Lytechinus pictus: one gene and its partners. Each later gene encodes a partner of the first gene's protein in a complex. Links are inferred from orthologs where the notes say so. Each region holds a gene or a part of one and is shown in the gene's direction. Other genes may lie near its edges.

Region 1 (3,758 bases):
CTGCGCGACGACGGAATATTCTACTATCATCGTCTAAAAGATGGTGGTGTCGATGTGGACTGGGTTAACTATGATATTGCCTTTCACGGCTTGGATTGGTATTCTCCACTATATTCAGAAACAGGAAAGCAGGTGCAGGAAGGATTTATCAAATTCATCAGAGTTAACATTTGATTTATTTTCCTGCGTTTTAATCTGCAATAATTACCAGCAGTATCTGGTTGATTATACTTTTTTTCTCAAGTGCAATTAATTTCGTATTGAAATGCAGTCAGTATTCGTCAAACCTAAATCATACACGCGACAGACGAGTCATACCTCTAACTACATATTGAACAAAACTTGACAAATTGTATTTATCCAAATCATCGTTTTTAAATGAATATATTCAAATGCTTGTCTAGGTTTAATTCGTTTGTATTTTGAATTAGATCGTACTAATTGATTCTTAATGCCACTTTATATTGTTAATCTAGCAGAATGTGTTTTTATAAATACGTGAAATGATTTTTTTATGTTTACGATGGTATATTGTATTTCTGTACAGATTAATCATGATTGTGTAGTTGCCCAGGTACTGAAGAGTTTAAATCAAATTGTTACAACAATAGAATGTTTGTTCTTACTTTGTGTTTGAAAATAAACAGATAACGAAAAATTATATAAATTAGAAAACAGAGAGAAAAGCAGACATGGTATGAAAGAGGGGGGGGGGGGGTCGGCGAAATTAATAAATAGTAAGCATAATAAAGAGAGAATGGGAAAGAATTAATGGGTGAAAATGAAACAAACAAAAGATAGAAAGTAGGCTAAAAGAAAGTAGGTAGGTATGTTGATAGACAGGCAGACAACTAGATAGCTAGGCAGAAGGCAATAAAGATAGATATGGGCCGACAAATTGAAAACATATTACTTGTATTGTCTCTTCTATGCACTCATTGTCATTTTCCTTTTGATGGCGACCTCAGCAATCTAGATTACAACGAGCCCCTTATATTCTGCAATACGGAGGGTACTGAATAGAAGAAAGAGAGGGGGAAAGATGGACGGAAAAGGAGAACACGAAAGATTGAAATTGATGGATATTGAAGACCGAAATCCCCAAACTATTGCTTCCTCAATGGGAAATGAATGGGTTGGACTGATGAGAGAGAGAGAGACGAGTGAGGATCAAGGGAAGGAATATGAAAGGATGAATTATTGATCGAGGACAAGATGCGTAATTTCTCTCATCCTTCAATCCATGTCTATGAACAGAAACAACAATTAAATTCATTAAATCGATGGTAGCTCGAAAACCAACTTTTTATCTTGGCAAATCGGTAATATGACCCACGGCCCACGACATGACCCAAGACGAATATTTGACGCGCCGCGTCTTTCTCATACGGCTCTGCGTCGAGAATGTTACTATACTCACGCCAATCTGGGGTATAGCGCCATCTGCGGCGAGGTAGCAGCGATGTATTTATATCTTGCAGAAAGAGTCGGATAATCTTGCTTATTGTAAATTATTCTGTCGCAGTAGCCTTACGAACTAAAGTCCTTTTCTACTTTTATCAAATTACCAAGGTCATTACGATGACGTCCAAGATGGAGCTCGACTTGACTGCTTCTGCACGACCGATTTGGCTGGTCAAGGTAAATAAAAATTAATAATCGAGTCAATTTAAATGGCAGTGTCTCAAAACAGGTTACAGAATGGTACAGGTGGGACTGCAGTGTACTGTAATCTTTTTCAAACAATAAAAACAAGTGCTACAAATTACAATCCAATCAGAGCCAACCGCGTAGCCAGGATTTAATTTTGGAGGGGGCGGTAAATGCATGCGAAGCGTGCCAAAACTTACAAAGCGCGCTCCCTAGGGCCTTAGGAGTTAGGGCATAGGGGGGAGGTTACTGCGCCTGCGGCAGCCCGAACGTCGTGTCGAGGTCCCCGGGGCAAGGGGGGAGGGTGCAGGGAGGTGCAGGGGGGAGTTTTTGATATCTCATCAAATTTGAATCAAAAGAAGATGTCTCTTGCGTCTCTAATAATACCCTTATCAATTTGACTTGCTGTGATTAAAAACAAAACCTGTTTTCCAAAGAAAAGATGAGTGCCCCAAAAATGGGACAAGATTGAGGAATTCCAAATAATTCCTCTTACCGCGCGAAGCGCGAAAGCTAAGACGTTTTATTAAAAGAAATTGAGAACAGAAGTGGTTTAAAATGCCTATCTTAGACTTTAGTCACCAGATTTGATTGTAAAAACTTTAACCACATTATATTTCTTTAACTCACAAAACAGTAGATGCGGGTATATGCAGGGAGGAAATATTTCTTCCCGCGAATGGCTTGAAGCTCTGAATTTTAGAAATTTCTTTGAAACTTTAACCTGCTCTAATTTTGATATTTCTATAAATAATACAAAGAAAAATGTAGCTCAAAATGTGAAAGGGATGATGCAAGCTTGAAGAGGGACTTTTCCTTTCCCATGCACGCGAAGCACGGAAACTTCTGTGAGTTATTTTGGAAGAAACAAATTTGTGTAATTTCGCTCATAATATTAAGCGCTTCCTTTTGTATGATTAAGAAACTTCTGTGATATTCAAAATTTCAAATCAATGGCGCAAAACAGGACATGAGATGGATGTGCAGCGATATAAATTTAGAATAAAGTTTCATCGTACCAACGTTTGCATATAGCACGGCACGAATTCAATGCTCCCCCTTTGAGCAGATACTTTGCCAAAATATTGCTTGCTGAAATGCGGAAGAAATAGCATTTGGGGACTTCGGGATCGAGTGACAGTATAAAAGTTTACCCACTCTGAACAGACGAGGAAAAATTTGTGTCAGCGCAACTGAAAAAAATACTTCTCATACTCCTTACACCCATGTATACTTTATAATTTCTGGCAAAAATGCGATTCCCATGGCCGGGAAGGAGAAAAACGGAATAGAAAAAAAGGTGTGGGAAACAAAGGGCTAAGGCAATTTTGATATTTTTCCCGCGTGGAGCGCAGAAGCAAAATTTTGTGTGAAGAGAGAGAAGAACATCTCGTTTAGGTTTTTATTCTTTTGACAAAAAAGAAAGAAAAAACAATAAAGCTATAGGCTATACCCTTCTTCCCTTTTCTCCCTTTTCCCCTTCTTTTTTTTTCTTTTTGGGGGGCGACCGCCCCCCCTGGCTACGCGCCTGATCAGAGCGCGAACTGAACAATACAGGAACTCATTCTTCCCATCCACTATCATTGAGTGGAATTGCCTGAGTGACGCTGTCATCAACTCAACTCTTGATTTCATTGTCTTTCGCTGGGCGAAAGCACGGAAATCGCACGATTTGCGTGCTGTCGCCAAGCGAAATCAAAATGGTGACGTAAACACGGTGGCAAGTTTTCCCCGTCTTTTCATTACATTTTTCTTGTTTTTTAAATAAATTCTTGTTTAAAAATGAAATCAATAGCGTAGAAATGTCGGAAATGAAGTTGTATCCCATACCGGGTACATGATTTAGGGCTAGATCTAGATCTTTTAGAAGGAAAGTAGAAATCTCGGGGGCGAAAGTTTCAGGTTTTTTGGCAGTACACGGAGATGAATGGGAAGGAATTTCTGGCTCCGTTTAGAGTAAGCATACATTAGTAAATGATTTTTACTCTCTAGGAGCCTCCTGGGGCCCGTTTCTCAACACCGTCATAAGTCTAACTTCTTGACTAAATCGGAGATAGTGAGCTACTTGTCCGCTAACCGTTTCACAAAGCCCTCTTTACCAAGATCGG
Region 2 (3,758 bases), on another chromosome or scaffold:
ATATATATGTATTCTATAAAAATACAGAATACTGAACTAATCAAATGTCGAAATTACTTAGTTAAATCAATTTTATGTCAGACAAGGGTCTCTTTCGTTGAAATATCAATGAAAGGTGTCTCTAAAAGGACACCGTGTTCTGAATAAGGGAAATAATGATAATTTCGATCTTATCCAGTTATGTTTGTGAATCTTGAATTTTTTTCTCTTTTTACCTCATAAATTAAGCTCCATGTACATCAATTCTACAATCAGTAATAAATAAAATATTATTTGATCCCCTTTTATTGAAATATATGATTTTATGAAAAGTCGTCATTCCGAAATAAAAGGTTCAGGTGACGATGAAGACTAAATATTTTTCCGATACTATCGATATCAAACGATGTCGCGGACTTGAAAGACAAAATTGCCTTCGTGAAACGGAAAGCGCTGATTTGTCACCAATCTTCCTATCTCGGAAGAATGGTCCTAGGACGTTCCTACGTATCGCTCATCTTGTCATGCAACAGGCCCCATGAGGCATGACAATGTATGTGGATTGTGAGGATGGAAAGAAGGATGAGATGAGTTGGAATGGAAATAAACAAGTTGAATGTAAACAATAAAGTATGGAAAGCCAAATGCAAGAGTACAGATTAGAGAAATAAACCCAGCAAAATTTACTGTTACACTATGACGTACAATATCGCACAATGTCAATGACTGGAGGTAATCATAATTATATTGTATCTCGCTATATCGATATATGACAGTTCAGACTAGTCCAACGCCAAGGACATTCATTTTGAAGCGGGAATTAAGCAACTCGGAAAAGACCTGGCGCATAATCTACTACTAACTAGTACTAGATTGAAGAGCGCCAACCTAACTCCAACACCAACCAACCTGTGCAGGCCAGTTGACATAGGCATAGCCATTGGCCATCCATCCATATCCTCACACACACATGTGCGCGTGTGGGAACTTGCTGGGATGGGAGACGGGCCCAGCCCAGGGCAGCTAGCTTGCGGGTCGGCCCGGGGGATTCAAGTGGTAAGCGCCGATGCAGCTGCAGGACAGACCGCGTGCTCAGGCTCAGCATGCAATCTGATTCGCCCACGTTTTCATTTTCGACTTTATCTTGCAAATGTCTGCTTGATCTTATGCAAAAAATATGGCATGCCACAACTATTATTGATTATGACTTAAAAATGTACTTTAAATCTGATATTCTAAATTCCAGATAATGCAGTTTTCTCATTGTTATTACTCACTGGTTCAGCAGCGCGGTATCTCGCTTGAAGTTGTACCAACTCGACTCTTGCGCAATACTGGCGACAGTTTTGGCCGTAGGCAGGCGCAGGCGGTTAGGGGCGGTTAGACATCCACATTCTGAAATATATCAACAATTTTCTGAATGCAATGGGAAAACGGGATCGTAAAGACGGTGGTACGTATGTCCCATTACTTTTCAAGAATACTATGATATTACTTAGGTATGAGAAAATTGTCGGTAGGCTTTAAAAATCAGCACTTTTCCGTCACTTTTCGGGAAGTGCGAAAGTGGACTTTACTTTAGGCCTAGTCCCTTACATAGAGAACCGTGTTATACGCTTGGAATGCGGATAGAAACGCGCAGAATCCATTGCAATAAAGGCGTGTGCGATTATTGCGCCTGCATGCTACATGGGCTAAACACGTTTTTGTGAAGCTGTGTATGAATTTCACATTGACTCAGTCGCCTGATATAGGCAGTAGAGGCGCACGGCCAATATGGGAGACTCTCTCCAATAGGGGAGACAATCTCCCACATTGGAGACTTGCTTTGCAAAAGGACAAAAGAAACAACACCAACAAAAGCATGATTTTTTCCACCCAAAATTTTGTCTCACTGAGGTCAGAAGCCCATTTGTTTTGTGTGTGATTGACAACAAAAATCCTTATCAAAACAAAAGTAGACGGTGAATTTTTAAAGTAGATGGTAAAAAGGGGCAATTTTTCATGAGGAATCTGCTTATCACATTTTTATTTGCCGCCAAGGTAATCCTTTTGCAGCAAATGTAAACAAAGGAAATTGGTCTCCAAAACTGGAGACTGTCTCTGAATTTGGATACCCAAATTCTTTACAAAAGTCTCTGATATTGGAGATAATCTCCCACATTGGAGACAGTCTCCAATATTGGCCGTGCGCCTCTACTGATAGGGGAGCCGGGAGTCGCATCTTGTTCATTTCTTGTAACACAGGTCAGCAGGTTGTCACAAAAGGAAAAGAACTCTTCTCCCAGAGTCACAGCTCTTTAATTATTCTTCACCCTAAGCCTAAATCATGTAAATGGGCATGAATGGGCATGATGGGATACAACTACAAGTAAAACTTCATTTCCGACATTTATACGACATTGAATGATTGATGTCATTTTTGTCTCGCCTGCATTGCAGAGCGAGACGATAGGCGCCGCTTTTCCGACGACGGCGGCGTCGTCAACATGGAATTTCTTAACCAATATGACCAAAGTTAAGTTCATACATTAAAACATACGGGTAATCAAGTATTACTGAACATCCTGCCTGAGTTTCAGGTCACATGACAAAGGTCATTTAGGGTCAATGAACTTCGACCATGTTGGGGAAATCAATATCAAAATCTTAACCAAGGTTAAGTTTTTGAAATGTCATAACTTATAAGTATATGGACCTAGTTCATGAAACTTGGACATAAGGTTGATAGTGTATTACTGAAGATCCTTCATGAGTTTCAGGTAACATGACCAAGGTCAAAGGTCACTTAGGGTCAACAAACTTTGACCATGTTGGGGGTATTTGTGGAATTGTCATCATAACTTTGACATTTTATGGATCTAGTTCATGAAACTTAGAAATAAGAGCAATTAAGTAACCCTGAAAATCCTGTGCGAGTTTCAGGTCACATGACCTAGGTCAAAGGTAATTTAGGGGGCAACGAACTTTTATAATGTTGGGGTTATTTGTGGAATTGTCATCATAACTTAAAAGTTTATAGATCTAGTTCATGAAACTTGGGACATAAGAGTAACCATGTTGTCAGGCACTCAGAATAAAAAGAATAAAATTACTGTATCAAATTGAAGTACTGGTTTATTAACATAATAATCAGTCTATTTTTCAAGGTTTACAATACAATCATCTTTATCGTTCACTCTTGTGACGCTAGCATGCAGTATCAAATCAGTTACAAGACGTGAAATAATTTTACAACCAAGTGTAAAGTGGTAGTGAAACATATGCAATCTCCAAGGGTAATCTGTTACAGATTTGGGTTTGCAATTTGTTCTGATTGTAATACAAAGTGATTGCCCTTTAAAACATTTCACAATAACTACCGGGCCGGTATGGTATAAAAATCTATTCCAAGTAGGAAAGGGTTTATGTAATGTCCAGTTCAAAGGGAAGAAGAGAAATGCTCACTGATTCAAGTTCAGGTGTAGTAAGTTCATGGTAATCAACTGCTTACCCGGCCAGTCAACTAGACCTATTCATTTTACCGAACATTTCACTCGTTGACAAAGTGGATCTTAATCCTATCGTTTTATGTTGGTAGATGTCCCCATGGTTCCGTGATCCGTTGAAATATGGAGCACTTGTAAACATCCCCCTCACTCAGGTTGGGGCCACGTAGCAGCAGGTGAAATACACCAGTTTGTCCACAAAGATTATTATATTGCCCCTCCAGAACGGATGATACGGAAGGGTTCTTCCGGGAGTTTGCCCATAAATTAGGAGCCACCTGAAAATTACAG
Region 3 (3,758 bases), on another chromosome or scaffold:
AGAACAAATGTGACCAAGGTATTATGGTCAATGAACGTGGCATTATGTCATTATATATTTTTGTGAGTGATTATTTTATTGTAGTTTTCAAAGTTAGCACTGCTGCTATATTAAATCGCGTAATGCAGGCGAGACTGCCAGAGGCGTTCCACTTGTTTATTATCAATCACTTTGTGAGCAGTATTTCTAATACCAGTAGGTCCATGGTGATACTTATACGTCTTAGTCCAATTTAACCCAGAGGTCTCCAATGTTTCACCAAATTAATTGAAAATCAATTTTATATATATATATATCTAAAAATCTAAAAACTATAATGAACAGGGATATCATTAAAGGGTTAACCCGGGCTGAAAATATAAATATAGTGATATTCACCGAGCAAAATGCTGAAAATTTCATCAAAATCCGATAACAATTAATAACGAGGTTATTTAATTTTAAAGTTTAGCAATATTTTGTGATAACAATTATGCACGTCATCATGAATATTTATTGGGTGGGCTGATGGTGTCACATCCCCACGTTCCTAAATTTTCTTATGTTATTACATGAAATCGGAAATAATTTATTTCTTCATACAAGTGTGAATGATATGTCTACCTATGATAAGTTGCATGCAGCAATGCATTAAATCAGTTGTCGATCCAACTTTTTTTAGTTCTTGGCGGAAAATTGAATAAACATAATTTCATATAATAAAATACAAAACAACAAGTGGGGTTATGACATCATCTGTTTGTTCATTGAATATTCATGAAGACACATTTCCAGAACTGTTGTTTGACCGAAATAATGCAAAATCATTAAAATGTCATAACTTTGTTATTCCTTGTCTGATTTTGATAAAAATGTCATGTTTTTTTTGTCTGATATTTCTTTATCTATTCAAATCATGTTTTGGCAGACTTAATAATAAACTTCAGTATCTATAGTAGGCCTATATGCCTATATTTACGTGATAATCATGCATGACCCTGCTTGACAGATCAGACTGCTACGCAAAAATGTCCCATTTCAGCCCAGCCTCGAGCGCAAAGCGCGAACTTATAGGCGTATCATAACACTTACTTTCAACATGTTCAAAGGGGAAAACAAATTTCGTAGCAATTATATACACGTTTATTATATATAGAGGCAGGTGCTCATGGCCACTTTTGACTCATATGGGCATATTTTTTTATAGAACAATACATCATTGAACAAAATGCGACTATGCATAAACCTATTCTATCTTCTTCTTCTCCGCCTCCAAGCTCCGTCTTCTTCTTCTTCTTCTCCGTCCTCCTCTTCTTCTTCTTCTTCTCCTTCCTCTTCTTCTCCTTGCATGATATCCTTCTTCTTCGTCTAATATATGATAAGCACAAAAGCAAAAAAAAAATGTACCTGGTATATAATATATATAATATAATGATGATCATATATGAATTCTTTATGTCATTGTTAACATAATTATTATTTGTGTTGTGGTTATTATCAATATTATCATTATTTTCATCCTGATCTTCTGAATTTTAACTGACAAAATAATGTCTTTAATATCTCCCTGTATTATTTCTGACGGACGGACGGGTGGCGCTGGCGTCAGTTGGCTCATATTTTCTCATCCGAAGTATACTAGCGTAATACGTTTGGACTTCGGAGATCACTCACGTTTGCCAAGCAAGCTATAAAAGGCCGACAAAACAATGGCTGACGACGAAGATATCGAGAAGTAAGAACATCATTAAATTGTATTCCATATGAAATTATGTGACTGATATAACTGTGTTACTTATCGTGATAGTATCTCGTACTTTGTAGCTTTATTTACCCATGCACATGCGGCTGAATTAAGCATTATTGTAATCATGTTAAATACAGTCCCGTATATTTAATTTGGTGTGTGGTTTTTCTGCGTATCCACTGGATCCTCCAGAGTCGAGGGGCCGATTGCACGAAAGGGTCTTTCGGCTTAACTGCAGAATACCCCGACACTGCTCACTACCCAATCGTTGGTCAGCCAACACAACGATGTCAAGACCTATAGCTATATACTAATTCAATGGTATATAGCCTAGATATATCCATACTATTATATACGTACATGCATTACTGGTACTACTACTACTACTATACTACGTACGTACGTACGTATTGGGTTTCGGAAAGGTTTCTCATGCATGCTAACATCTCTGTGCCTTGAACTTATTCTGGAACTCAATACTGCTTCGAGACTTCCGACATACACCGCTTATCTTGACGCGGAGAAAGCATTCGATTGTGTGTGGCATGAAGGCTTAATTGATAAGTTGCAGTCCATTGGGATAAGCATCTCCCTTGTTCGTCTCATACAAAATCTACACTCAAGGATGGAAAGCCATGTTCTTTGGGATGGAGATGTGTCAGATCCCATTCCTATCACTCAAGGGGTCAGGCAGGGTGGTATCCTCTCTCCCACCTTATATACCGTATTCGTTGATGGCCTCATAAAACATCTAAAGTCACTTGGGCTCGGCACCTTCATACGATCGGAATACGCAGGTGTGATTGCACTGGCTGATGACATCACTCTCCTAAGCAACTCCCCTTCAGAATTACAACAAATGCTTGAAGTGACGTTCCAATATGCTTCTTGTTGGCATTATCGTATCAACCCATCTAAGAGTGCTATCGTGGTCACCAATCCCCGCAAAGCCAGTAACCAGGATAGTTGGACAGTAGGGAATGATGCAATCTTGCGGACAGATTCACACACCCATCTAGGAATTCTCAAGACCAGTACGAAATCAGACCAATCTGATATGATCGCTACAAGAGGTCTGAACACCTTCTATGCAATGGTAGGAACTGGTGCATACTCGGAGGGTCTTGTGCCTTTAGTGACTGCCCGCCTATGGACGTCTTACTGCATCCCACGTATGCTCTATGGCTGTGCTACTCTGAAGTTCACCCAGGCAATGCTAAAGAAACTGAACAAAACACAACTTCAGCTATTCAAAAGGATCCTAGGAGTACCAATCACTTCAGCCGATGAAATTGTGTATCTTCTCACAGACTTGATTCCAGTGTCTGCTCAGATAGAACTGGACAGACTCCTCCTCCTTGGGTCAATTCTTTCTATTGATCGCTGTCGGTTCGAGTTTAGAATCTTTCTTCATGCCTCAGAGAAAACAACTCCAACCATCCGGATGTTTGCTGATACTCTGTCCAAATATCATCTCCCACCACTTGTAGATCTAATTACAGATCCACCTCAATACAACACTTGGAAGCGCACCATCAACATAGCAACGAGGAGAAATGTCAATGAGGATCTAGAGCAAACCATCCCTTTGAAAGCCAGTCTTTCAGTCTGGGCAGGTAATCTGCCTATGGACGTCAAGGACCTCTACCCAAGAAACCCTCCATCCTCCTTGATTAGAAAGGCCTTGACAGTGAGAGCACAGCTTCTTTCTTCCACCTACCTTCTTCAAACCAGACTGAAAAAAATTGCTAAGACCGCTGACTCAACCTGCCAGCACTGTCATAGTGCAGACGAAACAGTAGAACACTTTATCGCCACATGTCCCCATTCCAACTCAATTCGCTTTGAGTTTATTTCTTTACTCAATGAATCTCTGAAAGACTACCCAGATGTGATCTCTTCTTATAACTCAGCAAACCCTACTCTGTTCACTTGTGTTGTACTTCTTCCTCCTGTATCTGATCCACCAGTCTCTATCAAAGACTGCCTGCTTCTTAAGACATTATTTTTTATCTATAAACTTCATATGTGT

The links.
Region 2: general transcription factor IIF subunit 2-like (region 1) and general transcription and DNA repair factor IIH helicase subunit XPB-like share a complex: the UniProt entries of both Homo sapiens proteins name them as parts of the TBP-based Pol II pre-initiation complex. The link is inferred for Lytechinus pictus from reciprocal best matches to the Homo sapiens genes GTF2F2 and ERCC3.
Region 3: general transcription factor IIF subunit 2-like (region 1) and DNA-directed RNA polymerases I, II, and III subunit RPABC2-like share a complex: the UniProt entries of both Homo sapiens proteins name them as parts of the TBP-based Pol II pre-initiation complex. The link is inferred for Lytechinus pictus from reciprocal best matches to the Homo sapiens genes GTF2F2 and POLR2F.

What each region holds. Positions count from the first base shown.
Region 1 is NC_087260.1:10,631,767-10,635,524, forward strand, and holds the start of general transcription factor IIF subunit 2-like, read left to right. Parts: upstream 1-1,456; 5' UTR 1,457-1,581; coding exon 1,582-1,641; intron 1,642-3,758. Other genes in the region: esterase LipI-like, read left to right, coding at 1-174. UniProt on the Homo sapiens protein: TFIIF is a general transcription initiation factor that binds to RNA polymerase II and helps to recruit it to the initiation complex in collaboration with TFIIB.
Region 2 is NC_087257.1:8,963,978-8,967,735, forward strand, and holds the start of general transcription and DNA repair factor IIH helicase subunit XPB-like, read left to right. Parts: upstream 1-1,318; 5' UTR 1,319-1,404; coding exon 1,405-1,432; intron 1,433-3,758. UniProt on the Homo sapiens protein: ATP-dependent 3'-5' DNA helicase/translocase. Binds dsDNA rather than ssDNA, unzipping it in a translocase rather than classical helicase activity. Component of the general transcription and DNA repair factor IIH (TFIIH) core complex.
Region 3 is NC_087248.1:11,114,048-11,117,805, reverse strand, and holds the start of DNA-directed RNA polymerases I, II, and III subunit RPABC2-like, read left to right. Parts: upstream 1-1,588; 5' UTR 1,589-1,688; coding exon 1,689-1,714; intron 1,715-3,758. UniProt on the Homo sapiens protein: DNA-dependent RNA polymerase catalyzes the transcription of DNA into RNA using the four ribonucleoside triphosphates as substrates.